Linked DNA regions of Nothobranchius furzeri. Each later gene encodes a partner of the first gene's protein in a complex. Links are inferred from orthologs where the notes say so. Each region holds a gene or a part of one and is shown on either strand. Other genes may lie near its edges.

What was found.
Region 2: pigp (region 1) and pigq share a complex: the UniProt entries of both Homo sapiens proteins name them as parts of the glycosylphosphatidylinositol-N-acetylglucosaminyltransferase (GPI-GnT) complex. The link is inferred for Nothobranchius furzeri from reciprocal best matches to the Homo sapiens genes PIGP and PIGQ.
Region 3: pigp (region 1) and dpm2 share a complex: the UniProt entries of both Homo sapiens proteins name them as parts of the glycosylphosphatidylinositol-N-acetylglucosaminyltransferase (GPI-GnT) complex. The link is inferred for Nothobranchius furzeri from reciprocal best matches to the Homo sapiens genes PIGP and DPM2.
Region 4: pigp (region 1) and piga share a complex: the UniProt entries of both Homo sapiens proteins name them as parts of the glycosylphosphatidylinositol-N-acetylglucosaminyltransferase (GPI-GnT) complex. The link is inferred for Nothobranchius furzeri from reciprocal best matches to the Homo sapiens genes PIGP and PIGA.
Region 5: pigp (region 1) and phosphatidylinositol N-acetylglucosaminyltransferase subunit Y share a complex: the UniProt entries of both Homo sapiens proteins name them as parts of the glycosylphosphatidylinositol-N-acetylglucosaminyltransferase (GPI-GnT) complex. The link is inferred for Nothobranchius furzeri from reciprocal best matches to the Homo sapiens genes PIGP and PIGY.

Annotation. Positions count from the first base shown.
Region 1 is NC_091756.1:33,915,747-33,922,390, forward strand, and holds pigp (phosphatidylinositol N-acetylglucosaminyltransferase subunit P), read left to right. Parts: upstream 1-2,344; 5' UTR 2,345-2,513; intron 2,514-2,597; 5' UTR 2,598-2,600; coding exon 2,601-2,682; intron 2,683-3,438; coding exon 3,439-3,511; intron 3,512-3,598; coding exon 3,599-3,717; intron 3,718-3,825; coding exon 3,826-3,941; 3' UTR 3,942-4,369; downstream 4,370-6,644. Other genes in the region: rexo4 (RNA exonuclease 4), read right to left, coding at 1,099-1,245, 1,329-1,633, 1,707-1,904; si:dkey-197c15.6 (putative nuclease HARBI1), read left to right, coding at 5,402-6,098. UniProt on the Homo sapiens protein: Part of the glycosylphosphatidylinositol-N-acetylglucosaminyltransferase (GPI-GnT) complex that catalyzes the transfer of N-acetylglucosamine from UDP-N-acetylglucosamine to phosphatidylinositol and participates in the first step of GPI biosynthesis.
Region 2 is NC_091745.1:17,745,718-17,751,907, forward strand, and holds part of pigq (phosphatidylinositol N-acetylglucosaminyltransferase subunit Q), read left to right. Parts: intron 1-58; coding exon 59-179; intron 180-2,381; coding exon 2,382-2,508; intron 2,509-2,584; coding exon 2,585-2,738; intron 2,739-5,890; coding exon 5,891-6,002; intron 6,003-6,190. UniProt on the Homo sapiens protein: Part of the glycosylphosphatidylinositol-N-acetylglucosaminyltransferase (GPI-GnT) complex that catalyzes the transfer of N-acetylglucosamine from UDP-N-acetylglucosamine to phosphatidylinositol and participates in the first step of GPI biosynthesis.
Region 3 is NC_091746.1:70,782,835-70,789,702, forward strand, and holds the start of dpm2 (dolichol phosphate-mannose biosynthesis regulatory protein), read right to left. Parts: upstream 4,646-6,868; 5' UTR 4,546-4,645; coding exon 4,543-4,545; intron 1-4,542. UniProt on the Homo sapiens protein: Regulates the biosynthesis of dolichol phosphate-mannose. Regulatory subunit of the dolichol-phosphate mannose (DPM) synthase complex; essential for the ER localization and stable expression of DPM1.
Region 4 is NC_091754.1:25,445,359-25,452,270, forward strand, and holds the start of piga (phosphatidylinositol N-acetylglucosaminyltransferase subunit A), read left to right. Parts: upstream 1-2,542; 5' UTR 2,543-2,673; intron 2,674-3,200; exon of another isoform or gene 3,201-3,303; 5' UTR 3,304-3,339; coding exon 3,340-3,777; intron 3,778-3,858; coding exon 3,859-4,129; intron 4,130-5,615; coding exon 5,616-5,748; intron 5,749-5,996; coding exon 5,997-6,129; intron 6,130-6,912. UniProt on the Homo sapiens protein: Catalytic subunit of the glycosylphosphatidylinositol-N-acetylglucosaminyltransferase (GPI-GnT) complex that catalyzes the transfer of N-acetylglucosamine from UDP-N-acetylglucosamine to phosphatidylinositol and participates in the first step of GPI biosynthesis.
Region 5 is NC_091744.1:85,182,539-85,187,589, forward strand, and holds phosphatidylinositol N-acetylglucosaminyltransferase subunit Y, read right to left. Parts: upstream 2,880-5,051; coding exon 2,667-2,879; 3' UTR 2,371-2,666; downstream 1-2,370. Other genes in the region: triadin, read left to right, coding at 1,997-2,131; pyurf (protein preY, mitochondrial), read right to left, coding at 2,972-3,113, 4,321-4,523. UniProt on the Homo sapiens protein: Part of the glycosylphosphatidylinositol-N-acetylglucosaminyltransferase (GPI-GnT) complex that catalyzes the transfer of N-acetylglucosamine from UDP-N-acetylglucosamine to phosphatidylinositol and participates in the first step of GPI biosynthesis.

The DNA.
Region 1 (6,644 bases):
AAACACCTGTAAAGGTTACTGAGCCTTTAAATGGTCTCTCAGTCTAGTCAAATTACTGTAATAAATGTAATTTTGCAAAATATTCTCATTTTTCCAGCTTGACATGATTGTGTGTTTTTAGCAGCATTTCTGTTGCTGGTAATCTAGTAATGGTTAAATAAATAAATAAATCCTTTAAAATGGCACTAGAAGTGGCACAAATCTGATGGAGGACTTAAATTTACTAATTTGGATCAGACCCAAACACAGAAGCTGGGTGGTAAAGACACACAGGTAGTTCTAATAACACCTGAGCACCATGACGTCTGAGACTGATGCATCAGTGTTACAGCAGGGCTAAAGAAATGAGCAGAAACAAGTTACAGTTGGGTGATCTAGGAAGGTAGAAGATCGTGATGTCCGAGCGGTGAACAGGTGAGCGGACCTTCGGGACGTCCCGCTGTCACGGCAAGAAGGGCACGGCTGCAGATTCACGCCTGCAGCAGCGAATCTGCGGATCTGCAGCCGTAGACTATTCATCACGTCTTCCTCGTTCTTCACGGGTCGTGATGCACTTGGATTAAAACATCCGCCTCTTCAGCTCCCGAGCAGCTGACAGCTTCAACACACCACGCTGCTGAATTACTAACGCTCGCATTTTCTTATCAGTAACGTAAACGGCGTTATGATAAAAGAAGACGATAATTAGATTACTCGTTATTAAAAAAAACTATTTTTTTAGTAATGCCGTTATTTTAAACATTGTTATTCCCATCACTGCTCGACTAGATTTTTTTATTTTACTTCTTTTTTTATTTCTTAAAATGTGTATACATAGAGCAGTTGCCTTGCAGCAAGAAGGTCCTGGGTTTAGTATTTATTTTGATACTCAGCACAGTCTATTCTAGTACTTGTGGTTCTAGTCATAAATCCAAAATTTAAGGAATGAATTTGGAATGGGTGTCCACCAATGACTACACTTTAGCTTTTAGCGCCAAACTTGAAAAAATTTCCTTTTAAACTTTAAATGTTTCACACAACGTGTGGTCAGTCATATCCTGGAAATAAAGTCCTGTCCAGCGTTCACACTAGAGGAAGCTTGTTTTTACAGCTACTCACCCCTCAAAACACTTCTCCTTCACCAGCATGCTCTCTGTGTCTTTGCTCTGGTGTTTGCCCTGTTTCCTCCTCAGGATCTCTGCAGCTTCTGCTCCCAACGTCTCCTCAGCATCATCAGGATCTACATCATCGAACCAAAGATCGTCCCTGCAACAAAACACAATAAAGAGTTAGGAATACAAAACTACTCTGGTCCACAATGTCTTCTAAAATCAGTACGGTGTACACACTCTGTAGGCTTCCTCTCCTCTACCACTGGTTTATTCCTCTTGGCTTTCTGCTCGCTGTTGGACTTTCCTTTGTCCCGTTTCCTTTTAGGAGCAGCTGGCTGCGGAGTGTTGGAGGCAGCTGGAACATCAGAGTTCACCTCTGATTCCTTTTGAATGGCAAATTTAGGAGCAACTGTGTGCTTGACTTTAGTCTCATTGTCTTTTTCACTGGGAGTCTTGGGAATATTTTTTAAAGTTTTCTTTGGAAAGACATTCTGTTTGGGTGACACAGGGAGCTTCTTCTCTGGCTTACTGGCATTTAGCATCTGTGGAAGGTTTCAGAAAAATCAGATTAACTTTGTAAATACACACCAGCATCACACTGATGCACAGACAAACCTCTTGGAGAGCTTTCCAGTTAGAGGAGAACTGCTGAGCCTCCTCTGGAGGTGTAGGCAGGTGAGGTTGGTGCTTCTGAGGAGCTGAAATCTTCTGAAATTTGTTTTTCGAGTTGTGTTTTATCCAAAACTCCTTCCTCTTAACTTTAGCTGTGGATTTAGGGTCAGAATGTGCTTTCTTCTTCTTCGCCTTAGACATTATGGAAAGTGTTTTTTAACAAGAAGTTGTTAAACTAAACGTTGTCAGCCATGCTGACATTTCAAAAACAATAGACAATGGCTGTTACCGCTGTCACTTAAAGTAATGTCTCCTTACCAAAAATCTGCATCAAAAATAAAACACTAACGTAAACAAGCAGCTCATTTTTTACAGAACAGCAGATAAACGTGGTTCTGCGTTCAGTTCGCAAATTCCGAAGCCATGCTGCGTTCGTTTTCCCGGCTGAGCAACAGCCAAATGGGTCCGATATGAACAAGACATCCCAGTATGAAACGTTCTACATAGTTTGAAAGCACTCTAATATTCAAATGTTTATTTTCTGTAAATATGTACTAAATCATATAAATTAGTAAATCTTCAAACAATTTAATTTGATGTCATATTTTTGTCTAGTGTATCAAAAGCGGAACTGCTTACCCGGGAAATTTTTCCGACCGAACTAACGCTGGTGCAAACTCGCAGCTGTTCTTAGGTTTTGTTGGAAATGTTTCCTGTTAGTATTATTTTAGAAATCCAGCTTTATTTACTCGTTATTTAGAAACGTAGGGGCACAAATGTTGTGAAAATTCGGAAATTTTATGAACTGAGGTAAGATGACAGAAGTATTTAAGGATGTTTTAGACTCTGGTTTGTGTTGCTTGCTTATTTCCTCTGCTTCCTGTTTGGTTTCAGATCATGGTTGAAAACTCTCCGTCTCCTGTCCCCGAGAGAGCTATTTATGGGTTTGTTCTCTTCCTTGGCTCACAGTTTGGTTTCTGTAAGTCAAAAATAATTATTTTATTCTGTTTTGCACACACACACACACTAGAACGCATCTTTTAGGTGACAGGTCAAGACTGTTCTTCCTGTATAAAATCAGAAGTAAATGATCTTTATGTTTACCTGTAAATGTGTCTGTAGTGTTTTGTTTTATTTTTTATATTCATCCTAGCTAATACACAATCTTACGTTTGTCTTGTGTTTTTAAAAGCTGACACAAGTAAAGATGGAAGACAAAACACAGCGGTGATCTCAACACTTTAAAGGATACACCTTTGTTAATTTTTTTTCACAACTCCCATGTGTGGTGTCAGGGTTAGCGTCCAAGCAGCAATGCCCCTAAAACAAAAACAGTTCTATTTGTTTGGACATCTCTGCTTTTGTGGCAGCTCTTTTCTACCTTTATGGCAGCCATCATATGACTGATTGACCATGTTTAAGTTTAATTATTTAGTGTCCGTGTTCAATTTAAACAAATGTTCGACTGTTTAAAGAAATGTTATTTGATTAAACTCCTAATCACACATTTGAATGTGAGGTTAGATTATTTCTATTAGAAGAAAGGCTATTTATTATGATAATTTAGCTTCTCGTATGTTTTATTCCTCAATGCACATCATGACCTGCTGACATAAATCAGTGCCTGCAGTCTCTTTAAAGTCAAATGCTAGCTATAGTTTCCCAACTCACTGAGTAATTGTGATTTAAGGGACTGAAGATAAATAATAACTATATTTCTCCTCCCTCTCCACAGTTCTGTACTGCTTGTGGGCATTTATACCAGAGGAGTGGCTGCATTCAATTGGACTCACATACTGGCCTCAAAAGTCTGCATCACCTTTAAAATCCAGATCAGATTTCCCACCGACATTTGGCATTTGGGATTTCTAACAAAAACTCCCTGTTCTGCACAGATACTGGGCTCTTGCAATGCCAATCTACCTGCTGGTTGCAATATCGGTGTCATTTTTGGTGTTGTTTGGGATAAACATGACCAACACTGCTCCACTGGACTCTGTGGACAACATCACAGGTGAGGTCTGATAGCATCCCAGCTGTTATCTATGAAAGGAATAAGTGTCAAATAGCAGTTTAAAAACTAAATATTTAGTGTACATTTTGTCTTGTTTTTGTGTTACAGATGTATTCGCACAAGGCCAGAGGGCCGACAGCGACTGCAAAGGCGGAGTTCCTCGACTTAAAGATGTGTCCGTTAGTGAGGTCAACAGAATGTTTTATTTGTCCCCTGAAACATAATTGATAAACTGAGTTGTTGGCAGAGTAAAACTATCTGTGTTTTACCTGGTTTGTGTTTTAAAAAACTGTTAAATGTGTAATATATGATTTGTTCTTCAAAAATAGCCTCACAACTATTTTACAATACCCGTCTAACCTTTTGATTATTTTCAGTTTCATGAAACAATCACAGATGTTATATTTATCATTTAGTAAATATAAATGTAGAAAAAAGATCATTTTAAAGCTCAGTTTACCTGCTGGGATGACTTGATGGGGAAACAAGAGTCAAAAGAGCAACAGTAAATAACTTTGTGTTATTATGACTGGTTGTTACACTGATGATCTAAAGCATAACTGAAACTGTATAAAATATCTTCGTTTGTGAGAAACGGTGAAGTTTAAATTGTAAAAAATGAAGTAAAGTTTCCTGACAGAGAAACAAGGCATGTAAATCTCTTCTGAGCTTTATTGTAAGGTGTAATTTAGACAGGTGAAACGTGATAAATTACAAACGGTGCAAGTTTTCAATAATTCATCTTAAAAGATAAAACTACTATATGAGACACTCATTACATGCAAAGCCAGATATTTTAAGCCTTTATCTGTTATAATTGTAATGGTTATGGCTTGCAGCGTATGAAAAATCTCAGACAATTAGAATATTACATCATATCAATAAAACAAGGATTTTAAATAGAGAAATGTCAGACCTTTGAAAAAGTATAATCATACCTGTGTACTCAGTATTTGGTTTGAGCCCCTTTATTGTTTATTGAATTAAATGAACTTTTGCACGATTTTCAAACTTTTCAAATTTCACCTGTATGTGTAAATGAAATTTTCTTGCGTTTAAGCCACTTTTTTTAGTGAGTAACTGCAGAGATGGGTTACTGAGTGTGGGACTTGAGAGGCTCTTAAAGCTGCTAAAAATAACTATTGGGCATGACTGTGTAGTGATGATATGTTCAGTGTTTCTAAGCATGACTCATTTGGCCAGTGAAAAGAAAGAACATTGTTATTTTGTACTTATTTTAGTTAAATAAAATTTAAATATAGCATTTTAGATTTGTTTATTCTTGAATTTGGGGTTTAGAGCTATTGGAGTTTTCTCACACCATCTTAAACTCAGTAAAAAACAGATGATGATTAAAATCATTTTTGCAAAAATGGTTAAATCAAGGAATTAGTACATTTTTCTGCTGCATGAGTATGTAATAAATGGACTTGTATGGATGGGAAATAAATGTCACTGATGAAGACCAGATTGATTATTACAGCACACACTCCATCTGATTCTGCACAAAAACAACTGGTGACGCGGCTGACCAGCAGGGGGCGTCAGCGCGCCACGTTTGGATCGTCTCTCAGAACGAAGAAGAAAAGCTGTTTAGCTTTTTGAGCGGTTGCTTCGCATCCGTTCCACATTTTTCCCTTAAGTGTGTCAGCCGTACCGACATTTACACCGAGACGTAGAACAGATGGCCTTTGCGGTACCGGTGTGGCTCGCCGTCCAGGAGGAGATGCTCGGCAGCTTTGAGCCCGAGGAGGAACAAGATGGCGCTCCACCTTGTTTCGACAATTTCTCCGACGAGGCTTTGTTCGAGAAGTTTCACCTCTCCAGACCTTGCATCGCGTTCATCTTAGACTCCGTGGGCACACACATGAAAACGGTGGACTCCACGAAGCGCCACACGTCCGTGGACGTGATGCTCATGATCGCGCTGAACTACTACGCTCACGGAGCCTTCAGCTCGTCCGTCGCTGGGAACACTTGGATGAGCCAAACGGGCAACTTGAATTCTGTTGTTAAAACTATCTCTGGAGTCTTAGCGGCGATGTGCAAAACGTTCATCTCCTTCCCGCTTACAGCTGAGGCCAGAAGCAGAACCGCCTCTCAGATCGAGGAATTCTGCGGGATCCCCAACGTGCTGGGCGTCCTGGCTCCAGCACACTTCAAGATCAGAGCTTCTCCTTATGACAAGACCTCCTTCAAGTCCTTCATAAACGCACTCGGTTACACTTCCGTCGTGAGCCAGTTTATCTGCGACTCCGAGGGCAACATCCTGAGTGTGGAGAAGTGCTGCGTGGGGAGCTCGTTTGAGCAGGAGATGTGGGAGACCTCCTTCAAAGGGAAGGAGGTGGAGAACGAGCAGCACGGACCGTTTTGGTTTATTGGTGAGATGCAGGAAAAATACACTCCGTAGTTAAAACAACAGCTGGAACGTGTCCCATGTTCCCTAAACTCACAGTTCATTTAATATTTAGATCAACAAAACCACCCAGTCCCTACAGTTGGTGTTACTAAAAAGGACAATGAAGAGTATTTGTTGGAGCGAGTGGACAAAAGTTCAAACATCTGGTCAAGTCTTCAAAAGATGCTTCAATTGCTTCTAAAGAAGGTTTTGGAGGGTTGAGTAATTAAAGAGCAAGTCACCCCAAATCAATGTTTAATTTTTTTGGGCTGATAAACTTTATAAATGAGTCTAATTGTGCTGCAGACATGTGTACTCAATAATTTGGCACTCTAGTATATCTTGGTTAAAGTTTTCTCCCTAAAACTGTCAGTGTTGCGCCCTCTTCAAAATTCTGCACTGTATTTGAACTTAAATCTGCCATCGCTATTGGCTAAAGCCTGGTGCACACCGGAGGCACGCCTGAGATTTTGAGAAGTCAAGTGGTCACACCGCGCTGCGGCGCTTGAGATAGAACTGGCACCTATCT
Region 2 (6,190 bases), on another chromosome or scaffold:
TTTTTGGACTTCCTGTTTGCCCAGACGTGCTCTCACATCTGTGCATTTCTGTCTGAAGGAAGGCTAACATCCTAGTGTCGGTTCTGGTGGACGTGGCCCTTGGCGTGTTTCTCATGTCGTGGCTCTACAGAGACGATCACATCTCCATGCTGGCCGACGCCCTGGTTCCTGCTGCTGACGTACGTCCGAAATCTGAACCAACAGTGTTTTGTTCTTTTTATCTGCATGATTTTCACACATCAGGTTTGTTCATTAATTGCATTAGTAATTAGTACTAGCTGATGACCAGTGATGTGCAGGAAGAGTAATAGAGAATTAAAGGCCTATCAAATCACAAGATCGTGTGAACTTTTGGAACACGAGTGGAAAATAACTCTCAGCTACTAACGCATAAGATTAGCTCATTATGTGTAAAAGCTGCAGTTCTAGTTATTTATGAGTTAGATCTTATTGATTGGCTGTGACGTCCGTTTTTAATTAGGCCGACTACAAAAGCGAATCCATTGCAGATGACCACCTAATGCATCATTTCTAGGAGGAGCAGCACATGTTTTAGGTGCTGCTTTATTTCTCCTACTCAAGCAAACCACTCATTAAATGTTGACAGAAACACCCGTGAAGTAAGCAGGTGAGACCAAGCAGCACTTATTGAAATCTGATCGTGCTGCACAAACGAAGGATGGACACAGCGAGGACAGAAGTGACAGAGCAAAGTAAAACCTGTTTTTTCTTTTTGTCCTTTTAGTGAGTTGCTGATTCACTAAAATGGAACAAAGTCACTCCAGAGGAAACATGTTCAGGATTTCTAAAACAATAAACATTTTCGTATTCCCAGTCTGCACCCTCTTACTTTTACTTTTTTTACTAATGGGAAATAATGATAATTGAAAAGAAAAGAAATAAATAAACAAGTTTCTGATTTCGGTCCTGATCGATGGACTCCACTTTCTCCTCACTGTCTGATGCGATGGGCATTCCTCAAGGAAGCGGTGCACCGTTTAAGAGGATTTTGATTGAGAGTTTTTAATCTGAATGTATCTGCAGCAGGATTCTAAAGCATCTGACAATGTGTTTGTAAAACTCATCACTTTAAGAGACGATGGATTAGATTAGATGGATGTTAATCATCTATAAATGGTGCAGAAGTCTGTTCTTGAGGGCTGAAGCCTAATTGTCATTTATTCACATCCCTTTGGTAAATTTGGGCCAGAGTTAAATCAAAATACTGCATGTACACACACACACCCTTCCTCATTTTGGTAGTGGGTGTAAACACATAAATACTCCAGGTGGCTCTTCTTCTGCCTCATCAGGAATAAACCCAGTGATGAATCATTTGCAGCAGACCAGATTACTGTAATTTCCGGACTATAGAGCGCACCTCAATATAAGCCGCACCAACAATAAAAACGGTTTTCTACACACACACGCTGCACTCAAACACAAGCTACGGCGCAGCAGCCGCAGGTCTCCAGCGCACAGCGCATGTACGGCCATAACATGAGATAATTAGACAGAAAGACGCTACACGGAGGTTTTTCGTTGTTTTAATTCAACAAAAGGAATTTTAAACACGGGTGAACGTGCCTGCAAGTTTAGAAAAGAAAACAGCGCTGATAGCATTCATATTTCTGGATGGTTATACAATAAAAACAGAGCTGACACGTTATTACCGGTCATTTGCATGTTTAGAAGAAAAGAACAGCGCTGACACAGCATTAATAAGCCCTGGATGATTAGAAAATAAAAACTGCACACAAAACATGCCTGGTTAGTAAATAAAACACACCTGCCTACCAGAAGAAGTCATTCGCTCTCATCTTCCTCCTGCGCTCTAAAGCCATTAAAGTCCTCTTCTTCAGTGTCGGAGTTGAACAGCCTCAGAAGAGCTTCGTCACATACCTTTTCTGTGGCGATGTCCGTGTCGCTGTCATCATCCCGGGTGAAGCTGGCTTGAATGAGTTCTTCCCGCTGCCGTCTGCAGCGCCGAACCATGGATTCATTCATGCCAAGCTTACGTGCGGCAGCGCTGTTTCCCTCCTTTACTGCCAGATCGATGGCCTTCAACTTAAATGCGGCATCATATGAACTCATACGTGTAGTTTCCATAATGAGGGGGTATGGATTTGAAACAAGTTCTTCGTCGTGCCGGCTGCTTGCATGTGCTAAATTAAAATGAGCACTTTCTTCCATTTCCACTTTTGACTTCCACCTGTTTCACTTTCTGCCTAAACGCCCCCTAGTGGCAGTTGAAGGAAAATCTTCAGTAAAGCTGCACCTCATTATAAGCCGCACGGTTCAAAGCGTGGGGAAAAGTAGCGGCTTATAGTCCGGAAAATACAGTAATAATATTTTGTTATCTTTTGAATCCTCCTTCTCAGCATGTGGCTCAGCAACTGGAGGAGCTGCTGCAGTGGCTGATGGGAGCTCCAGCTGGGCTGAAGATGAACCGGGCTCTGGACCAGGTTCTGGGCCGCTTCTTCCTTTATCACATCCACCTCTGGATCAGTGAGTCCACGCAGAGTTAGAACAGAACCTCACCAACGCCCCCTGCAGGCTTCAGCGTGCCATCTTGTCCTTACAGGTTACATCCACCTGATGGCGCCATTCATTGAGGGGATCCTGTGGTATGGAGGTCTGTCAGCCTGCTTCGGGCTGACCTTTGCCCTTTCGCTGCTGTCTGACATGGTGGCGCTGTTTACTTTCCACATCTACTGTTTCTACGTCTATGGAGCCAGGTACTTGAGATTTATTCGACGGCAAAGCACAGAAAGTTAACATGGCTTAAAACACTCGGGGAATTCTACGTTTACTTCAGACTGACTGACACCAAAAGACCTGATCATCATTACAATAATATGTTGGAATATGTTCTTTTTTTTACTTTTTTTTCACACACCTTAAACTACCCCAACTTTGATTTCTAGTTTCCATCTTTACTGTAAAAGGCAACTTAAAATATTATCAGAGGACTGAAGTAGGTCCAGCAGCATCCGGGCCGTCTCCTAAAGGTGGTCCGGCTTTGGGATCAAGTCTCCACTGATGCAGATCTTGCTCAGGAATGGCAGCAGGCAGGTCTGCAGCAAATAAAACACCTTTCTCCCTGAACCCATCAGGGAGGGACAAGCTGAGATTCAGAAATTATAAACCTGTGCTCCTCCACCAGCGACCTGCTGAGGTCTAGAAAAATGCGAGCAACACTGCAAATATAGACTCTTGCATGAAGCTAATGTCACTTTAAAATGATAAGTTCATCTCATTAAATGCCATTAATTCATTTTCAGTTTCTAATATTTGACAAAAAGATTTTATAAAATTGAAGCACATTACTCATTAGCCCCGGCCTGCCAGACTCGTCCTGTTTAACTTTCGCTTCCAGCCTGGGGCGGGCTGGTCAGGCTATTCAAAGGCTAGATGTGAAAATTAAGGTAGCCACAGTAAAACACCTGCAGGGGGCAGCGTTCCTGTTATGAACTTTAAATAAACTATTGATTCTGCCACATTTCTTTGTGTAAATAATAGAACTACACTAGTTTCAGACCTGAAGCGTGACTATTGGACATCAATAAAGAAAATGCTGAGTCATTCACACAGAGGAAGGACTCAGAATTGTTTTTATTATTTCAGCTTCTGCAGCAGCTGCAGACCTGGGTGTTGTGTTTACATATTTGGGTCAGAGTTGGAGAAGAATCGCCTCGGCCCGGCTTGTGGTTCACTCTCTCTGATGAGATGTTTGTGTGCTAATTACGTCTCAAGCAACAGCAGTCATAAAAAATCATGTCTGTGTCCTCATCACCTGTGTCTCCTCTGACCTGGAAATGACATCTCGAGGAAAGTCTGGGATCCTAAAATACACCTGGAGGGGGGGGGGGGGGGGGGCACAGGTGTATGTGTTCTTCTTCCGGCTCTTGGAGGGTGCAGATGCTTTTGTCCTCCTCTCCTTCATATCTTATCCTCAAGGCCATTGCCTGTCGGTGTGTGTGCTGGGTGCACTGCTGCTTCTGCATTTTTCTGGAAACTGAAATTCACTAAAATGGATCTCGTCAGTTGGTCTCTCAACGCGATTGATAACATTTTTTCAACGATGAGAACGGGAGAAGGGGCTTCCGGATGCCCCACCGGGACATACCCAGTTGGACACATCATGGACTCCTAGAAACAGTGGAACTTGATTTGTTTATCTCAGCTGTCTGTGGAGGACTCTGAAGATGTGTGGATATTGGTGTCGGGTTTCCTGCTCATTGGCCTTGGAGGCTACCTGGCTTATCGGAAAATTAACAAGCTGTTGAGGAATATTGGCCTGATCCCGGAGCTCAGAGATGGTTTGCACTGCGCTGTAAATTCACAGACTCACATAATTGTCAAGATGAATCGTAAGCTTGGAACTTTGGCCGAGATTCATTCTTTGGCACAAAAGATGGATGCCATCAAGGAGAGAGTGGACGAATCAGCACGGATTGGGATAGATTAATGTCCATTATTGGGAGGTTGAGGACTAACAAACTGTAAGACAGAGAGGAAATTATCTCTGTCTGGCCCCAAAACAATTTCTAATCGGAATCTGGTGTCCTTGAGCCTGCAAGGCTCCAACGAAAACTCCCCCCTCAGAAGATATGTGGAATGTGCCGTCGCTATGGCAACTCAACTCTGTCTCCTATCCCAGCCTGGGTGGGACGGCGGGAAGGCCGCTTAAACGTTCCAGGGTCACTGCAACCCTCCAACCCTCAATGCTCCTCTCCCTATCCACACTGAGGTGACATGCGCTGCTTATCGTGGCTGCAGGAACTGAAGTGTGGATAGTCCCAACCCACCACCCCACCTAGTGGACACTTATGTTGTGTGTTGTCTGAAGTCTGTTGCATCTCTGTCCGAGGTGCTTTTTGCAGAGCAAAGCTGCCCTCCTGGTGGGAGGGTAACTCTGAAGTACCTTTTTTCCCTCCACCTGAACCAATCCTCATGTTACCCTCCTATCTCTATTAAGGTAGCGCGACTCAGGGTTGCGAATGACCACAGTCGCCAATTCTTGTCATGTGTCTTGCCCATATATGTCTGATCTCTGAATTGTGTGTACTGAAACTCTAATTTCCCTCTGGGATTAATAAAGTATCTTTGATTTGATTGATTTTATTTATTTATTTTTTTTTTTACCACAGATGACTTCGACGATGTGTTTTTTTGGCACCATTTACCAAAGAACATTTGTCTTTCTCTAGAAAAGAAACCAGTGATAGTTTTTAAGATGTATTTAGTAAAATGTGTAAATCTGTGTCCCACATTACGGGTAAACACGTTCCTTTTGGTTATTTTCCTTTTTCAGTCTGAAGAGATAATGGCTGTGATGAAGGCCTGAGCACTGTGATAAAGGAGGATGGATTAAATTATGTATTTGATCTAAAGATGGTGCTCGCTCACCCGCGGTGGAATTAAATATTTCTCACTTTTTCTGTTGCATATTTATGCTCCACCAGCTCTCAGAATCAGGCTCATTGTGTCTTTTAAATATCCTTTGAGGAGCTTTGTGAGTAGAAAATCTAAAAATATCCACGCCGGTTATCACAGCAGGAGGAGGTGAAGGAGGAGGCGTCGCTCTCTCCTCCTCTGAATTTGTGTGCTTCTGTCTCTCACAAGATTAAAACTCAGGTGTGATTTTATGGATCGTTTTGTGGTCAGATTTTTGTCTCCAGAAACAAACTTCTGATGGTTTTTAACACCAGAGTTCATTGTTTCAACAGAAACTGTCTCTAGAGGAAATCATAAAAGTGAGCTGCTGCTGCAGTGAGAAAAATCACCAGATCTGAGGAGAAACTTAGTTTTATCATAAACTCAGAGACCAGTGATGTCACCTTTGACCCGGTAAACTGGCCCAGACGTGTGCTTGTGTCTTCTTCAGGTTATACTGTCTGAAGATCTACGGCCTCTCATCTCTCTGGAGACTCTTCAGGGGGAAGAAGTGGAACGTCCTGAGACAGAGGGTGGACTCGTGCTCCTACGACCTGGACCAGGTGTCACTTTCTTATTTCTCTATTTATTATTATTTTTTAAAAACTAAAGAAACTCAGTAGGATCATTTTTATCTTTGAAGTCTCATGTGAGGCTAAGATGTTTACTTTGGTTTGAACATTTATTTGAAACTCTAGAGGGAATAAAGCAGTCTTCACTAATTCATCACAACATAGAATTCAAAGACAAC
Region 3 (6,868 bases), on another chromosome or scaffold:
CTGTCGCTTTTTGTGTACCTCATGTTTTCAGGATACAATCCCAAAATAAGAAAGCAGGGATCCAAAACAACCTCTTTGGATAGTATTTGTTTCATAGTTTGTGTTACTGCAATCCAAAAGGATCCTATCTTCCTGCAACCCCAAATGCAATGCCAAAAATCACCTTTCCCTTCATTGCATTTATTACAAATGTCTGGTATATTAGGGTTATACTTATTCAACTTTTCGGGAGTAACATATATTCGCATCAACCATTTGTATTGCAACAACCTTAGTCTAGAATTGATTGTTTGTTTATGAGCTTTTGTACAAACCAATTCCCATTGATCCCTGGTTATGTCCTTTTTTAAATCATTTTTCCAGGCGTTCAATCTTCCTAACGAATTTTCAGATGTTTTGGACCTAAGTAATTTATATATTTCTGATATTGCCCCTTGTTTCAAACTGCTTTTACTTATTATTTCTTCCAGTTCTGATTTTGGTGGTTTGGTGCAGGTATTATTTTGATTTGCTCGAATGTAACTTCTAATTTGGAGATATTTGAAAAATTGCTTTCTATCAATATTATATTTATGTCTAAGCATATCAAAGGACATCATTTCTTGAGAGTCTGTTGGATATAAATCTTAGATTTTTTGAAGTCCTTTAATTGACCATTGTTTAAAAACTGTATCTTCTCTTCCTGGTCTGAAATTCTGATTTCCCCACATTGGTGTAAACTGTGACAATACAACAGGTTCATTCATATATCTTTTTACACCATACAATACTTTGACCATGTTCTTCACCATTGGGTTTTTTGCCTTTCTAATCAAGTTTACTGCTGTGTCTGAGAAAAAATATAATGGTAATGTTGGATGCAAATTCATACTTTCCATCTCTGACCATTGCGGGGCGTTATTTAAGTCAAAATAGTATCTTATAGACCTTATTTGACATGCCCAGTAGTACCACTCAATATTTGGACACATGACACCACCCTCATTGTATGGTAGATGTAACAATGACAATCTTATCCTTGGTCTCCCATTTTGCCATAAAAAACCGAGAACAAGCTTTTTGATCCTGCTAAACCAATCCACAGGAGGCGGCAAGGGGATGTTCTGATACACATAAAGCACCTTTGGCAGTATACTCATTTTGTATATATTAATCCGACCCATTAAAGAAATTGGTAGAGATATGCATCTGTCCACTATCTCTGTTATTTCTTTAGAAAGTCTTTCATAATTATTTTCCACAATCTCACTTAGTTTAGACGAAATCCGTATCCCTAAATACATAAAGTCCCTTACTGTCTTAAAATGGGATGTTACTGTGGGTGGGTTGTCCCTTTCTTCCTCATTTAGCAACATAACGGATGATTTAGATTTATTAATGACATATCCTGATATTTGACCAAACTCCCCTATCAATCTAAGCAGAGCAGGTATTGATTCCTTTATTTTTGAGAGATATACTATTACATCATCAGCGTACAACGAGATCCTATGTTCTACTTCATTCACCATAATTCCTGTCACCGATAAACTCGAACGTACGGCTATAGCAAAGGGTTCTATAGCTAATACAAACAACAATGGACTTATCGGTGAGCCTTGTGGACATCCCCGTTTCACCCTTATTGGTTCAGAGACATTTTTGTTTGTCAAGATTTCAGCAGTTGGATTTGAATGTAATAATTGTATCCATCTTCGAAACACATCTCCATACCCAAATCTAGTCAGAACATCAAAAAGATAGGGCCACTCGACCCTATCGAATGCTTTTTCGGCATCCAGCGAGAGTAAGGCGCTCTCTGACGAATTGTTTATTCCGTCTATAATGTTAAAGACTCTTCTTACGTTATGCAGACCTTGGCGTCCCAATATAAAGCCATTTTGATCTCTATGAATTACTGAGGGGAGAGTACCTTGCAAACGTGTAGCTAATATTTTACCTAACACCTTAATATCGGAATTGAGTAAACTTATCGGCCTCAAATTTTCACATTTATTACTCGGCTTTCCCGGCTTAGGTAGCAAAATGATTTGCGAACCCGTTACTGATTTAGGAAGACTTCCTTTGTGTAATGATTCCTGATACATTTCCAATAATGGTTTCACTAATTTACTTTTAAATTTTTTATAAAAATCAATTGGAAATCCATCTGGTCCCGCTTTTTTACCTGAACTCATACTGTTAATTGCCCTGCTTATTTCCCCTTCGGTGATTTCTGCATCTAATTGTTGTTTTAAGTCATCTGCAATAGTAGGAATATTTATTTTATCCAGAAACGCATTTCTGGAGGTTTGATCTGATCTATCCTGAGATTCATAAAGTTTTTCATAATAGTTTCTAAACGCCTTATTTATTTCCATCGGGTCTATTATCATTTCCCCTTTGCTGCTTACAATCGATGTTATATTTTTCTGCACTTCCAATTGTTTAATTTGCCATGCCAATATTTTTCCAGGTTTTTCTCCTTGTTCATAAAAAGACTGATTTAATCTCAAAATGTTCGAAGCCGCTCTATCTGCCGATTCTTTATTGTATTGTGCTTTTAGTATTAGCAATTTTTTCTCTGTTACTGGGTCTCTACTTTTGAATACTAGTTCCTCTAGAGTTTTAATTTCCTTTTCCATTTGCTGTCTTGTTTTACATGTTTCTTTAGATTTCGATGAAGTATATGCAATTATAACTCCCCGTAAACATGCCTTAAATGCCTCCCACCTAATACTAGCTGATGTTTGTGAACCATTTATAGTAAAATATTCATCTATTTCTTTTTCTACAAAAGTGAGGAATTCTTCATCATTCAGCCATTTCTGGTGTAAACACCATCTACGCTCCATTATTAAGTTTTTATGTGTATATATGATATTGCAGGGAGCATGGTCCGATAGTAATATACTGTCATATGAGCATGTCCTTATGTTTGATAGTAGGCTTGCTGATACTAAAAAATAATCTATTCTGGAATATGTATTAAATGTTTTTGAATGGCAGGAAAAAATTATATCGTCAGGTTTTAACTGTCTCCAGATGTCAATCAACTGAAGTTCCTTCATGAAGTTAAGAATTGTTTTTCGGCTTTTGTTATGGGCCTGGTCAGTCCCAGTTGGTCTATCCTTACAGGGATCCAGTACACAATTCCAATCCCCTCCTATGATGCATTTTCCTTGGAGTAATGAAATTGTGAGAAAAAGATTAGTAAAAAATGCATCATCATCTGTATTTGGTCCATATACATTAATTAAGTTAATGGTTTCTTGTATAAGTAATCCCTGGATGATCAAATACCTACCAAATTTATCTTTGATTACATTCTTAACCTGAAAAGGTACTGATTTATGTATTAATGTGATTACTCCCCGAGCATTGGATCTAAATGGTGCTGCATACAACGAACCTTGCCACCTCCTGCCAACCTTAATATGTTCCTCCTCCAGCAAGTGCGTCTCCTGAAGAAAAATTATTTTAGCTTCCAGATCTTTCATTTTGGTCATTACTTGCTTAATCTTTTTAGTACTTTTTAAGCCTCTACAATTCCAAGAGGTACATTTAACTTCCAGTTCCCGAGTCATCACACCTCACATGCACTTCTAAATGCTTAAACTTGTCTGAGAGTACGAACAAAACGGAACACAAAACACGAACTTTAAGTGAACAAACCATTCTTAAGAAAAAACACAAAAAACCCCACCCACCCATTTTCTGAGTAACCCACTCAAATGTTCCACTTCCAACTTTAACCATGTACAGATCCCCGTTTTAAGATCTGCTAACTTAAATGACTGGCATTATGCCTAGCTCTTCCCTGCTCCCTGTGTCCTTAATGAATCCTTAAGCTTTGCTAATATTCCACTGCCCCTTAATAATTAACTACTTTTTTACTGTCTTTAAACAAAATTGAATAAATTCAATAATTAAAAAAATAATAATCGTAATTAATAACTAAATAAATAAAAATGAAATGTAAAAAAGTAGTATAATATAAAAGATTGAAAATTATCATTCTTCCTATCTAGTTAACTGTGCAGATAAAAAAAAAAAGAAAAAACAGAAAATCGCTTTATTCTTAATTACCTTCTACTTTGATGAAGTTATCTATATCTTTTTCCAAATGAATCATTACCCCAAAATGTTAGACCTTATATTATCGTCCTCATCTCTTGGATTAATAAATGATTTAATCCAGAATGTTCTCTCTCCATTAGGGTGTCTCACTGATTGAGTGAAAAACAACAGGGTGGACAGCGCAGCACTGGCGACGGATCGAACATCAGCATGTCTTTAAAAAAGCACGACAATAAACTTTAAAAGGAAAAAATAAACCCGACAAAAACGTAACGAAAGAAAAAGGCAGTCCATCTCTTCGTAAACAGACTTAAAACGTGATTTTTGTCATTAAAATGAGTTCAAAATAAACGAAACTTAAAACCTAAAATTAGCTTAAACAAGCTAACATTTAAACACACAAACCACAAAGTAAAGCCCTCTTTAAAACAACACCTGTCCGTTTAAAACTGCGTTCATTTGTAAATAATTGACATTTCTTACCATTGTCGCAGCCCCGTACTGAAAGATTGTTTACTTCCGGGTTCTTCTTCGTTTTCTAAATCCCTCAGAAAGACTCGATCTCTACCGCCACCTGGTGGTCGACCACTGCAACAGCTTCCATTTGGTTTAAAAGGAGTTTCAGAACTAAAGACTTTTATAGATCTTTATGAGTACACACTAGTACTATAATAATACACTACTCCAGTCTGAGTGTACCACGCCACGCCCGTCACGTGGCGAGGCAGGTCTTGTGGTGGTCTTTAAGGACAAACATGTCTAATCTGGTGAAAAATGGCCCCTTTAATACTTTTGAATGTCAGGTCACCAAATGTATTCAGTGTGTTTTAATCTACCGACCTCCCGGTCCAGCTGGCCATTCTCTGAATCAGCAGAACTTTTATCATCAAACTAGAAAAAGTTTTGATTCTTGGTGAACGTTTTTAAGGCCCATATGAGCTCTGGGACAGCTGAAAACGTCAGTGTGAGTCTCTTTATTCTCTCCTCTTGTCTGAGCTGATGGCGCTGTATGCGTGGCGCGCTTCCAAACAATTCAATTCAATTTATTTATAAAACGCCAAATCACGATCAGAGTCGTCTCATGGGCCTGCACACAGTAAACATTCCAGTACAGGTCAGTACATTAAGCCAATCAGTAACAAGTTTCCTATATAAGGAACCCAGCAGGTTGCATCGAGTCACTGACTAGTGTCAGAGTCTTTACAGCAATCCTCATACTAAGCAAGCATGCAGCGAAAGTGGAGAGGAAAACTCCCTTTTAACAGGAAGAAACCTCCAGAGGATCCTGGCTCAGTATAAGCAGCCATCCACCACGACTCACTGGGGATGGAAAAGACAGAACGAACGAACACACACACACACACACACACACACACACACACACACACACACACACACACACAGGATGGCTGGCAAATGATTCTTTTATAAATCTCGGAGATTTCTCCTAATAAATGACCGGAAAGACTACCGGTAGTCATCGTAACGTGGAAAAAAGTCCCGGTAAAGCACTGCTGTCACAAAAGATCCTCCTATAGAAGGAAACTAAAAACACGCCCCCCCCCCCCCCCGAATTTCTAATCATCTTTTTTTTGTTTTACTTTTCTGATGTGAATCCATTTCTGTTAGCGAACACTGTTTTGCTTTGATCTATGTGAAGCACTTTGTGACTCTGATAAGTGCTATATAAATAAAATGTGCTTTAGTTACTAAAACTACAATCTTGAAAGTTTCGTTAGAATTAACAGGACTCTTCTTGTTTCCCTTGAAGACGTGTGGCTTCTCATCCAGGAAGCTTCTAGTAGTTTCCAACCAGGCCGTCAGGTTTCCTGCCCTGGACCTACACCGACCTACACACACGCACCAGAACAACGTGCTGGACTTCACTTTTAACTGCTGTGGATGAAAGACTTCTGAATCCTCTCCAGTTTTTCAAACGAAGGAAAACTTTCCCTGATAAAGAAACAAGACATTAACTGAACAAAAGCTAAAGGACAATCTAATTATGGATGAAATGAAATAAACTTCAGAAATATTTGAGTTATGACCGCATGGAACAATCTCAACCCAGAGATGGAAAATCACCACAGGTTTTATTACATTTGGTTCACAGAGTACACACATAAAATATCAGATCTCACGTGACTTTCATAATTATGTTTACAAAAGGAGGTAAAAGCAGTTACAGCTCCTATAAAACCCTACAGTGGTTCCAAGGTTTATAGGAATACAATCTTCTGGCATTTGCCTTCAGCTAAATCATCATCTGGTTAAATCGTTCCCTAAATATAAATAAAAAAACATATAAATAAAAAGTAGTGGATCCAGAATTTCCTCAAACCGCCGATCTGTGAATTAAAGCAGCAGCAGAGTTAAAACAACCAAATCCCAGTGAAACCAGTTTAACACCACCAGACAGGAAGTTAACATCGCAGGAGTAAATTCTGTTGAGTAAAACCAGCCTGAGGACCAGCTCGCTGGTCCAGAAGACTCTGTAAAGGTTCTGTTTACAGTCTCCACAGAAAACACTCATCCTAACAGATCAGAACAAAATGATTAACAGAACTTTGTTTTTTCAGTTCAGCAGAAGCCCCACCCCCACGGTACCAGAACCAGAATTCCCAATAACAAACACAAAAGTCCCTTTTATGGTTGGGAAGCATCCAGAACTCAGCCCAATAGAACCACAGACTACTGGATGTTTAGACTCTGGTACCAACAGCCTCACAGAGACCCGGTCTGGTTCTGGTTCTTTAGACTCACTTAAGAGAAGGGACAGGATCTGAGCTCCAACTCGTCATTTAACCTA
Region 4 (6,912 bases), on another chromosome or scaffold:
GTTGTGCAGAACAGCGCAGCCAGGTTCCTGACTGGGACCAGGAAACGGGACCACATCAGTCCGGTTCTGGCCTCCCTGCACTGGCTTCCGGTTTGCTATCGTTCACACTTCAGACTCCTCGTCTTTGTTTTTAATTTCTTCCAGGGTGGTAATCCCCCTATCTGGCCACGCTCCTGAACAGGCATTCCCCATCACGCGCTCTGCGCTTCTCTGACCAAGGCCTGCTCGTTGTCCCTCGTTCTAGGTGTCGTACTTGCGGGGACCTGGCTTTCTCAGTCCTAGCACCGTCACTATGGAACCAGTTGCCACCCTCAGTTAGGCTGTCCCCATCTCTGCCAGTCTTCAAGAGTCGCCTAAAAATCCACCTCCTCCGCTTGGCGTTTCCTGAGCATGTTTGATTTTGGCCCTCTTTTATGTTGATTTCATCTCACAGTTTTCATTGGTACACTTTTTCCCTTGTTTTACACATTTGTCTTCTACTAGAATTTTTCACCTTTTTTGTAATTTGTAATCTGTAATTTGAATTGCTTTTATTTTCTGATTTATTCACTTTATTTAACTTTGTATTGTACCATGTTCAGCGCCTTGGGCTTCCTGACAGGGTTGCGGAAGGCGCTTTATAAATAAAGCTTTGATAGATTGATTCTAGAGCCCTGCACTGAAGCCCTAGGCCCTCGGGTCGGCCCGGCCCGACGGCCCTCGGGCCAGGCTTCGGGCCAACGACTGTGTAATTACCTCGGACACTGGCCGGGCCGGGCGCCTTTATTTTTAATCAAATTCATTAAAAAAAATTGAAACACTTAAACCAGGGGTCGGCAACCTGTTCCCATCAAAGAGCCATTATTAAATGGAAATGTTGGTTTTGTGTATATGTCCCTTTTCAAACAGCTGATCTCCGAAGAGAACATCATTGATCAGCTCAAACAGTTAAAGTCTCTGCACATGTAAATATTTTATTGCCTTCATTTTATTATTATGAATTTGTAAAGATTCAGTGTCATGTATTTGCTACCAGTATAGATATTGCTGTAAATGTTTATAACCATTTTTTGTAAAAAATATTTTATTTATCTTCATGTGTACATTATGTTGTTTATTCAGATTATTGTTGCAATTTTGTGAGAATTCTGTGGTTTTGAAGAGGTCTGACAGTAGAATTGATGCATATCAATGATAATTGATGTCAAAGAAAAACATTTAGAATTTTTTAATTTGATTTTTCTTTTCTTTTTTGGGGTGCGTGGGACAAGTGTGGGGGTAGATATTAATTCTGATTCAGACATCTGGTGCTTTTGCAGAAGATGAAGAAAGAAAATGTGAAAGTGTAAAGTTTTCAAGGTAAACAAAATTAAAAAATAGGCATAATGCTCCTCAGGAAGGAGCAAAGATTGCCACTGCCTCCTGAAATAGTAACTATTGTTGTTTGCTTTTGTGTGATACCTTCTTTTTTGTCATTGTTGCTGTGTGAAAACTTTCAGTTTTTGATGCACTCTGTGAAACCTGACAAGACTCAGTGGATAAAAAAAGAAAACGTAAAACATGAAAAATATGTTTACAAGCCTAAAATAGTTGGGATTTGAATTTCAATACTTTTCTAATAAATTCTGAGAAAACAAATCTGGTGATTAATTTCCCTTGTTTCTTACTGAAGCAAACCAACTTGTTTGGTTATCATTTTTAGTATTTTTTTGCTCATGAGCAGGCCCTTTACTATAGTGGATGATGCTAGCTGAACAATATTTGATTTCATGGCTAACCAAACACCTTTCACACTCAAATATTTTAGTCTTAAGAAGAAGAAGCAATATTTTATATTGTGCCTCTCAGGATAAAAATCAGGAGGCACTTCACAAGAGCAAAAAAAAATTTTTTTTTAAATGATTAAATATATCACAAAATGAGAAAATTTTAAAAATTGTAATTTTAAAAAATGTAAGGAAAGGGAAAGAAAATTAAGAAAGATGTAATCAGTGGATCCTGCAGAAGTGGTAAAAAACAAAGCTGAATAAGGAGAGAGTATGAAGCTCACACAAAAACACCAAAGGTCTGAACAGGTGAGTTTTCAGCTGCTGCACTTCAATACTAAATATACACCTACATACAAAGTTTACAGTAATTTATAATATTGTTATCCAAAAACAACATTCTGTTTACCAAGATTCTTGGGAATAAACACATTCCAAGGTGGTGTATGCCTAGAAAAGGTTATAGTAATCATTGTTTTGATTCTAACAAGTGAAAATATGACTGCAGCCAAAAGTGAACATTTTTGAAAGTTTATGTCCAATTATGAGCATGGACAGTGCAAAAATCAGTGGAAAACTTGCTGTTTTCCTAAACATTTGTAGCATTTTCTCTCATTTGAAAAAGTAAATTTGATTGTATATTCAACAAATATTTTGCTCTTCTTTTTTTCTTTCTTTTGTGTAGCCCCCGTTTTAATACCAACTTGATTTTTCTGTTGTTGTTAACAACGTTGTTATTTTCTAGAGCGCGCCAAAGCTTAGGGTCTGGACCGCGCATGCCTCTTGCGAGTGACGTAGGGCATCAACAGGAAGTGCGACCGGCAGCTAATCTGCTAGCAAAGAGCTACGGAGTTGACATGAATCTTCAACAAAACCAGAGTCGTTTTTGTTTTCACCGATTAGAACAAGACTGACATTTAATTTCGCGGTAAGGTGGCTGTAACTTTAAACAAGTATAGGATGCAATATTTGACTTTAAGTATAAACTATGGGTTTATTAGCTTGATAAAAACAGACGCTAGTTACCGGTAGTTATTATTCAAAATCATGTCTGAGTTACATTTACTAGTCATGACTTGTGTCGATGAGCCACGGTTCCTGTCAAGTACATGGTCCTAAACGGGAGATTCGTCAATGTGAATAAAGTGTGCTCATTTTAGAAACGGTTTCAATCCCTTTTAAACAGGCACAGACACCCTCCAGCATTAGTTTTGGTAAACTGAAGGTGTAGAAGTTGTTCAGTGTAATCATTATGAATCATTTAAATGTAATGGTACTAGCTGTTTTCATTGTTGTATTGTAGATTGCTGCTATTAAGAGTTTTGGTTTTATTAACAGAGGTTGAGAAAAGTAATAATCACAATAAGTTTTGAGAAAATTAGCTAAAATTCTTTAGGAATATAATGCTATATAGAAAAGTATTGATTAAAATGAAAAATGAATGTGACACAGTTAAATTTGAGGAAAGAGATTCATAAAATAAGTTTGACTTTCATTGTAATTAATTGTTATCTTTTGCTTTATGTGATATTATTCGGCACATCATAAATTATTTCAGCTCTGATTGATTGAAAAGCCACAGGAGGACTGCACGATGGGCCAGCGAAGGAGAGCAGGAGCAGTGAAAACTCTGTCATCTGAAAGAGACTCCGCAGATGTTGCCAGAATCTGCAACAGGAAGCACAACATCTGTATGGTGTCTGACTTTTTCTATCCAAACATGGGAGGAGTAGAAAGCCACATTTATCAGCTTTCTCAGTGTCTGATTGAAAAGGGACACAAGGTGGTAATTGCCACTCATGCCTACGGCAGGAGGAGGGGTGTGAGGTATTTAACCAATGGACTGAAGGTCTACTACCTGCCCCTGCAAGTGATGTACAGCCAGTCCACAGCCACCACCTGCGTCCACAGTCTCCCACTGCTGCGCTGTGTGTTTGTCAGGGAGCAGATCACCGTGGTACACGCACACAGTTCATTCTCTTCCATGGCCCACGATGCACTGTTCCACGCCAAAACCATGGGCCTCAACACCGTATGTGACTCTAAGCCATGTATGTCTCCCTTATTAATAACACACAGTTCAGTAATGTAAATGTTTTTCTTTTAATACCAGGTGTTTACTGACCACTCACTTTTTGGCTTTGCTGACCTCAGCTCCGTGCTGACCAACAAGCTTCTGACAATTACGCTGTGTGACACCAACCACATTGTGTGTGTTTCCTACACCAGTAAGGAGAACACGGTGCTCCGGGCTGTGCTCAACCCAGAGATCGTGTCTGTCATTCCCAATGCTGTTGACCCTACAGATTTTACTCCTGACCCGTCCCAGCGGCCAGCTGACAGGATCACAATAGTTGTCATCAGCCGGCTCGTCTACCGCAAAGGTACCCAGACCCTGTTGGGTTGGATGTTGTCATTCTTTGCTTCTTTTCTGCTTGTTTATAATGTATGTGTTGGTTTTGTTTGCATTGGAACATTGTAAAAATGTAGGCCAAATAGGCCAAATTTAGAGCATTTCACAGGTTACTCCAAAAATGTACTGAATAAAATTGACACAAGTATTTTTAAAATTGTCAAACAATATCAATCATGCGAGGCTTTTTTGAGTTTGAGTTTGCTCATCTGGAGCGCCTAACAGCTAGAATGGAAGATGGTTGACCCAGTTGTCGTGCAAACTGCACTGACAATCAAGAAAAGGAAGAACAAATATCTGGGGAGTCTTGAAAAGCATTAAAAGTTAATAAATTTATTTGAGGAAAATTAAGATCCTTAAAAAGTATTTAAATATCTTGAATCAATTTAAAAAGTCTTAAATTTAGTTAGTATTGATGTGTATTTACCATAAGGTTGTATAAAAATAGATGAAAGTAAACTAATATCATAAAATAATTATTTGTTCTTTCATGCCGGCTTTTTGCTTGCGTTTCCGTAACACGTGCCTTTACGTACCATTGCTACAGCCCTGCTATCATGGACGTGACATATCCCGCCAACTGATGAAGTGGTGCTGAATGCTGCTGTTGTGTCCTTGGGCAAGACACTTAACCCGCCTTGCCTGCTGGTGGTGGTCAGACCGTTGGCGCCAGTGCTCGACAGTCTCACCTCTGTCAGTGCGCCCAAGGGCGGCCGTGCCTACACTGTAGCTCATTACCACCAGTGTGTGAATGGGTGATTGTGTTGTGAAGCACCTTGGGGGGGTTGTAGAACCCTAAGAAGGCGTTATACAAATACAGGCTATTTACCATTTATTTGTTAGAGCCCAGCATATACCCTGTATTACCTGATGCCTTTATAATAATTAAAAAAGCATGGAAACTCCCAACATTTTAACCTCACCTCCTGGGCTCATGATGCTTTGTGATTTTTATCTTGAGAGATATAAATACAAAAGATCGTTTTCTTTCTTTCTTTATTTTCCTTTATGTAATTTGTCTGCAACACAAAGGAACAGAAAGCACACAGCTCTGTGGTTAAGCTCCCTTTCTCTGGAATAATGACTTTCAGTCAATTTCAGTTCCAGTCTACTGTTTCTGAGCCCTACTAATAAAAGTGTGGGTCATAGGGTCAGATCAAGAAAGTTGGGTTTCTCAGATATCTGTTAGTAGTTTCAGAGCTGCACAATAAACAAACTTCAAAAGGTCATTCTGAACAAATCCCCGTGGGATCATCTCCAGACTTTTAACAAAAACAAAGTGTGAAAAGAGTATAAAGGAGGAAAAAAGAGATCGATTGCAGGAATAAAACTGCTTGTATGTATATATATATATATATATATATATATATATATATATATATATATATATATACACACACACATAGCTGAATAAAAGGCTGCTGTACTTTAACTGTAAACAAACCTTCTCTGTTTAGGAATTGATCTTCTGGGTGGGATCATCCCAGAGCTTTGCCTCAAACATCCTGATCTTCATTTCCTGATTGGCGGAGAGGGACCAAAGAGGCTCGTGCTGGAGGAAGTGAGAGAGAAATACCAGCTGCATGATCGGTAGGTTGGATGGGTGTAGTTCCTGAGATTGTGGAAGAAAAATGCAAAACTTGACAACTAAGAATGTTTTATATGTTTTTATTATGGCTGAAATGACATTTCAATGTTTTATATTTAGAAGCGTTTCAGCGTTGGTGATTTTTATCCTTTAAGTTTGTCTGGTGAAATCAGTCGGATCTGATCCAAGTATGCCTTTAAAATTGTTTTTCTGTTAATGAGGCTAAAATATTTTTTTCTGTTCGCTGAAGAGTTCGTTTGCTCGGAGCTCTGGAGCATAAAGACGTCCGCGGCGTTTTGGTTCAGGGACACATCTTCCTCAACACGTCGCTGACCGAAGCCTTCTGTATGGCCATCGTGGAAGGAGCCAGCTGTGGCCTGCAGGTCTGTTTTTATTCAAAGGTGTAAAACCAGCAGGACTTGAGTGGGAAAAATCTGATAATTTAGTAACATTCTTCAGTTTAAGTTGTTTGCTTATCTTTTTAACCCTTGGAGGTTCCTTAAAAAAAGCTACACTGGGGACCCTCGCACAACAAAAGGCATTTTAGCAAAATGTATAAAAAATATAATTTCAAAATTCAAAAAAAAAATTTCACTGATTCTATCCTTAGCTTCAGTCCTCAACAAACATAGTAAAATAATTGAGAGTTTTTGAGATTTAACTCCTTTAGTGCCATATTTTGTCAAAAAAATCAACTGTATAAAAAACAATAATTTTTTGTGTGTTATGTCCACATCACTTCTTCTGGGGCTGAATTGTGAGGGCTTTGGAGAGTCGCAAATGAGCAAAAAATATTTTTTGTTTTCTCTGTTTTTTCTGTGTAGTGTCAGATATTCAGCAAAACTCACATTCAGGTCCCTCGCACAGAAAAATGCATTTTAGCTAAATGTGTAATAAAAATTATAAAATGTTTCAAAAGTCAAAAATCTTTTACACAGATTATTTTCTTAGCTTCAGTCCTCGCAAAACATAATAAAATATTTGAGTGTTTTTGAGATTTAACTCCTTTAGTGCCATATTTTGTCCATCCATCCATCCATCCATCCATCCATCCATTTTCATCCGCTTATCCGGAGTCGGGTCGCAGGGGCAGTAGCCTAAGGCAAGAGGCCCAGACTTCCCTTTCCCCAGCCACTTGGGCCAGCTCCTCCTGGGGAATCCCAAGG
Region 5 (5,051 bases), on another chromosome or scaffold:
CATTGACGGCTCTCGGTTGTGGGGCGGGTTCTACCGTTGTCTTTCAAATGATCTCCGCATTCCACTGGACAATGAATGTGACATACTCTTGTTTCACTCTGTTGCATCATCCCACCCACCAGGCATATAGAGTGCCCTGATTGGCCCACAAAGCAGATAAAGCTCTGTGATTTGTTCACTAAGCAGATAGAGCACTATGATTGGCCCACCATTATAGACCAATCACAGCTCTTTATGTGTTTGAAACCCCTCTAGAGAGCTGTGATTGGCTAGCCAGAGTCCTGGTAGGAGCTGCTGAGGTTCCAATGGAGCATGCCTAGACATTCTTTGCAATGCAAGAATTTGGTCTAGTTCACTAGGCTACTAAACTGCCACACTAATCATTACACGTGTGTACTGCAGGTTATCAGTAAAAACAACTTAATTTAGGCGTGACTTGCTCTTTAACCACATCTGCTCCGCTAGACCCAAACACACCATGTTTATTTATAGAGCACATGTATAAACAGCATGACAGCGGACCAAAGTGCTGTACAGCAAGGAACAGAGGAGCGCCATAAAAAAATCAAATCAAACAACCTAAAGATAAGATTAAAAATAAGATAAATAAAAGCGCCATCACAACAATAATGGAACGAATAAACAACTAATGAATCATAAAACACGGGACTAAAAAATATGAGAAAAGAAAAGCAGGGAAAGCACAGTAAAACACCAAAGGCAGTCAGTCCTAGGATATAGTAAAAATAGGTCAATGACCAAAGGCAAGGTGATAAAAATAGGTCTTCAACGCCGACTTCAAACAGCCTAATGCAGGGGCCTGTCGTACTTGGAGGGGGAGGGCATTCCAGAGATTGGGGGCATCCTCGCTCCCCACGAGGATGCACAGTAGCTGATCTAAGGGATCTAGAAGGAGCATACGGTTGTATATTAGTTCAGCGAGGTAGGTGGGAGTTGGGCCGTTCAATGCTTTATAGACAAAAGGTATGATTTTGAACTGTGTCCGGTACTGCACAGGTAGCATGGACGTAATTTTTGGGGGGGACATGCCCCCCCCCCCACATTTTCCAAAGTCAAGTTTTGACCCCTGCACGTTTTACCGTCCAAAAACAATTTTACGCTATATTAAATTGACACTGGTTGAGCTCTAAGACCAAGCGGAAAACAATCGTTTGTGTTGAAGCCTGTTTCCCATTAGAACATACTGTAAAGACCCCCGTGTCCCCCCCACTTCTAAAGTGAAAATTACGTCCATGACAGGTAGCCAGTGTAAACGGGCGAGGATGGGAGTAATGCGACGACGTCTGGAGGTATTTGTGAGGAATCTAGCTGCGGCATACACGTTTGGGTGAATGGAGATTTTAAACAGCTTTTAGTGTGACTGTGTGTGTAGGCATCTTTAAAATGCAGTTTTTTCTGCTTCAGCACACCTGACTTTAACCTTTGTGTGATGAAAAGGCTGCTGCAGAGTTTGGTGACTTGCTGAACAGGTGATTCAGTCACAGAGTCAGCTGTGCTGGAGCAGAAAAACACTAAAACACGATGGATATGGGCCATTCCCATCTGTACGGGGCCGGGTAGCCCCAGTCGGCCCCAGCCTGGCCCTGTTGATTCCACACATCCTTGTCTTAAGCCCATGTGGGCTGATTCTACCCACCAATCAGAGGCTTGCTCTAATGGAAGGTGTGAATTTGCTGTCAGCAGTGGGTGTGTTGGCCCTGGTCGGCCTGAAGCAGACCCCCTCGAGAAGAGGGCTGAGAATGAGCCTTGGTTGGCCCGGAAAAATACCAGGCCACCCAGATATGTAAACAACCTATGCTACCCGGCCCGGGCCGACCCGGTACAGATGGGAATGGCCCAATAGGTAGATCTAAAGGGTCCGAGTTGGACAGCCCTGAATCATATGCTACGTATCACAAACCTCTCATGCTTTTATCAGACTGTGGTTCTTTTTACAAGTGTCACTGTTTAACAGAGAGCCTCCCCCCCCCCCCAGGTCGGAGCGGTCCAGCTGAGACTAAACAAACCCTTCTTCTTCAAGACAAAAGGAGAATGGCAGTCGCCTCGGCCGGAGTCTCCGCTGACCAAATTTTCTCAGGGCAGAAACCCTAAAAGCAAAAAGTGTCACTAAGGAAGGACGTGAACGTACGATGAAAGCTGTTCTTGTTTGTTTCGGAGCATTTTGGGTCAAAGGCTTAAAAGTTCGAGCTTTTTTAAAACTTGTTTTGTTTTGCATGAAAAGATGATAGTTTGTGTTTGAAGTACAGGCATGTTTGCTGGATTGTTCCTCCCTGAAGTACGTTCACATTTCATAAAACAGACATTAAATAGCTGTTCTGTGTGAAAATGTTTTTATCAAATAAAAGTAACTTATTCCAATAAAGTTGTTTATTCTTTTCTGCAAGAACTGGAAAAATCCAAGAAGTTCAGTTGTTAAATCGGTTACATTTATCCATTTTATAACAGGAGTTTGTTCAGTAGCAGTTAGCGTTTACACGGACTCGGTTACTATGAGTCCTACCTGCAAGCCTAAACTTCCAGACAAGTAAAACCCAAGTCTAGCAGACTTTAACAGACATGAAATAAAGAAAATAATGTTACTGAAGTTGGTAAAGGAGGTAAAAGTGCATCAGAAAACATGCCGTGGGTTGTTTTCAGAGAGCATCCTAGTTGTGTCTGAAGAGCTTGATCCCCATCCAGCTCCAGAGATGGAAGAAGACGTAGACGGGGATGGTGACCGGCAGCAGCAGGCTGTAGAAGCACAGACTGTTGCCGCTGGTGCAGCCTTGAGGGAAGTTCTCATCCACGGCTGCAGAGTAGAACAAGCCAATGAGTGACACGATGGGGACCAGTCCCACCATCACGGACAAGGAGAGCATTCTAGCAGATTAGCTTTACAGTTTTTTTCTTTAAAAAAATAGCAGTGCTCAATCGGTTTTCTGGCAAATGAAGGTCTTTGATAGACTTTCTGTTACTGTGCAGGTGGATTAGAAGCGTCTGTGTCCTTCTGAAGGAGTCTGGCCTCCTGGGGGATCATGTTGGGGATGCCGTCGATGATGGGATAGGCGATGCCAAGCTCCTCATTGATCAGCTCGTTGGTATTGGCATCATACCTAGAGGAAAGAAAAAGAACATCAGTTATCTGGAAAACAGATTAGACTGTTTTATGCGTTGGTTCAGTCATTTCTAATAATGAATGCCTAGGTCGCAGGTCGATGATAGACTTTGAAGTCGTATCATCCGACCTGCGGCCGTGTGTTTTGGACACCAGAGTGAAGAGAGGAGCGGAGCTGTCAACTGATCACCACCTGGTGGGGAGTTAGATCAGATGGCAGGGGAAGATGTCGCGTAGACCTGGCAGACCCAAACGCATAGTGAGGGTCTGCTGGGAACGCCTGGCAGAAGAACCTGTCAAGACGGTCTTCAACTCCCACCTCCGGCAGAGCTTTGACCGCGTCCCGAGACCAGTGGGGGACATTGACTCCGAGTGGGCCTTGTTCCACTCTGCGATTGTTAAGGCGGCTGTTGCTAGCTGTGGTCGCAAGGTGGCCGGAGCCAGTCGTGGTGTGGAGTGTGTCGAGTTTGGAGGCAGGAGAATCTCGTCTCTGCTTTTTGCGGATGATGTGGTCCTCCTAGCTTCATCCAGCTCTGACCTTCAGCTCTCGCTGGGTAGGTTCTTGCTGCCCCCGCGACCCGGATAAGCGGAGGAAGACAACGACGGTGTGTGTGTGTGTGTGTGTGTGTGTGTGTGTGTGGGGGGGGGGGGGGGGTAGATTTCACCTTTACACTGCCTCTAATGCAGCTTTGACTAATTCTTAAGTAGGATGTATTCAAACATAGTACATCCTTGTTTAATTGATGTAAACGCCCAAAACAATTTCCCAATGATGTTACTAAGCCAGTGAAAGAAATCCCTTAATTTTTGATAAAAATCCTAATAAAAAAGATCAGTTAGTATGAAAGGTGTTAAAAACTGCTGTGTCTCAATGGTCTGGCTTAGTTAGCAACACCATTTAGGAATGGTTTTGGGTATTAAAATCAATTAACCTGGCAGCTTTTGAAAGAAATCACTTCATTTTTTATTTAAATCCTAAAAATAATGATCAGATCTTGCGAAATGTGCTAAAAGCTGCAGTGTCGCTGACCGGGCGAACCAACGTCTGTCGAAGATCCAACGTCCAACTACAAGCTAACTTCACCGCGGTACAGGACAAGCGCGTGCCTACGTCTTAATGCTTTTATATGAAGTTAGAAAGGACGCCGCTAGTTAAAAAACTAAAATCAAAACAGATGAACTCTGAAACACTTTGTTGCCGTTACCGGAGTGGCTTCTTGGACAGCGGACACACCAGGAAGTCCAGCAGGGAGGAATCGAAAGGCGGCTGCACTTCGTCCTTGGCGTCGGTCAGACTCCTCACCGGGACTCGGGCGGACGTTAACGACGGTCTAAACGCGGCTCGTTTCACATGACGATCAAAACGAAACGTTTCTGTCACGAGCCTGCTCACAACATTCCTAAACATGACCAAGTCCTGCGCGGCGAGCTCGGCGAACTCAACAACAGGAAGTACCAGCTTTGGTGTAACACTAAAACATGAGCCGGAACCTCTTAATATGTCCGCTGACTTCCGAGGTAGGATAAAAAAAAATCCCACAAATGAATTTAAATGTTTATCGACGTTTAAATTACTATCCGATTTATTTAATGTTAATAGACATGAAACTAAAATCCCATAGTTCTGGTTATTTTACAGTAAATTAAAGAAGGCTTGTTTCTACATTTGTCCACTGGATGGCAGTGTTTCACCTTTTTAAATCTCATTACGGCTGTCTCTCCAAAGGCAAAACCAAAAATCTAAAAATAAGGTTCTGATCCAGAGAAAATGTACATTTTCAAGTGTATACTTTATGATATTGCTTGGATGGTTTCTGACCTTCGATGCATTTGATTCACCAGAATGAAACTATGACCTGGGTCCTGTCCACTTTAAAATAAATTATCTGATGTGCAAACACGGTTTGTGGACTTTGCAATGGTTTCTATTTGTATT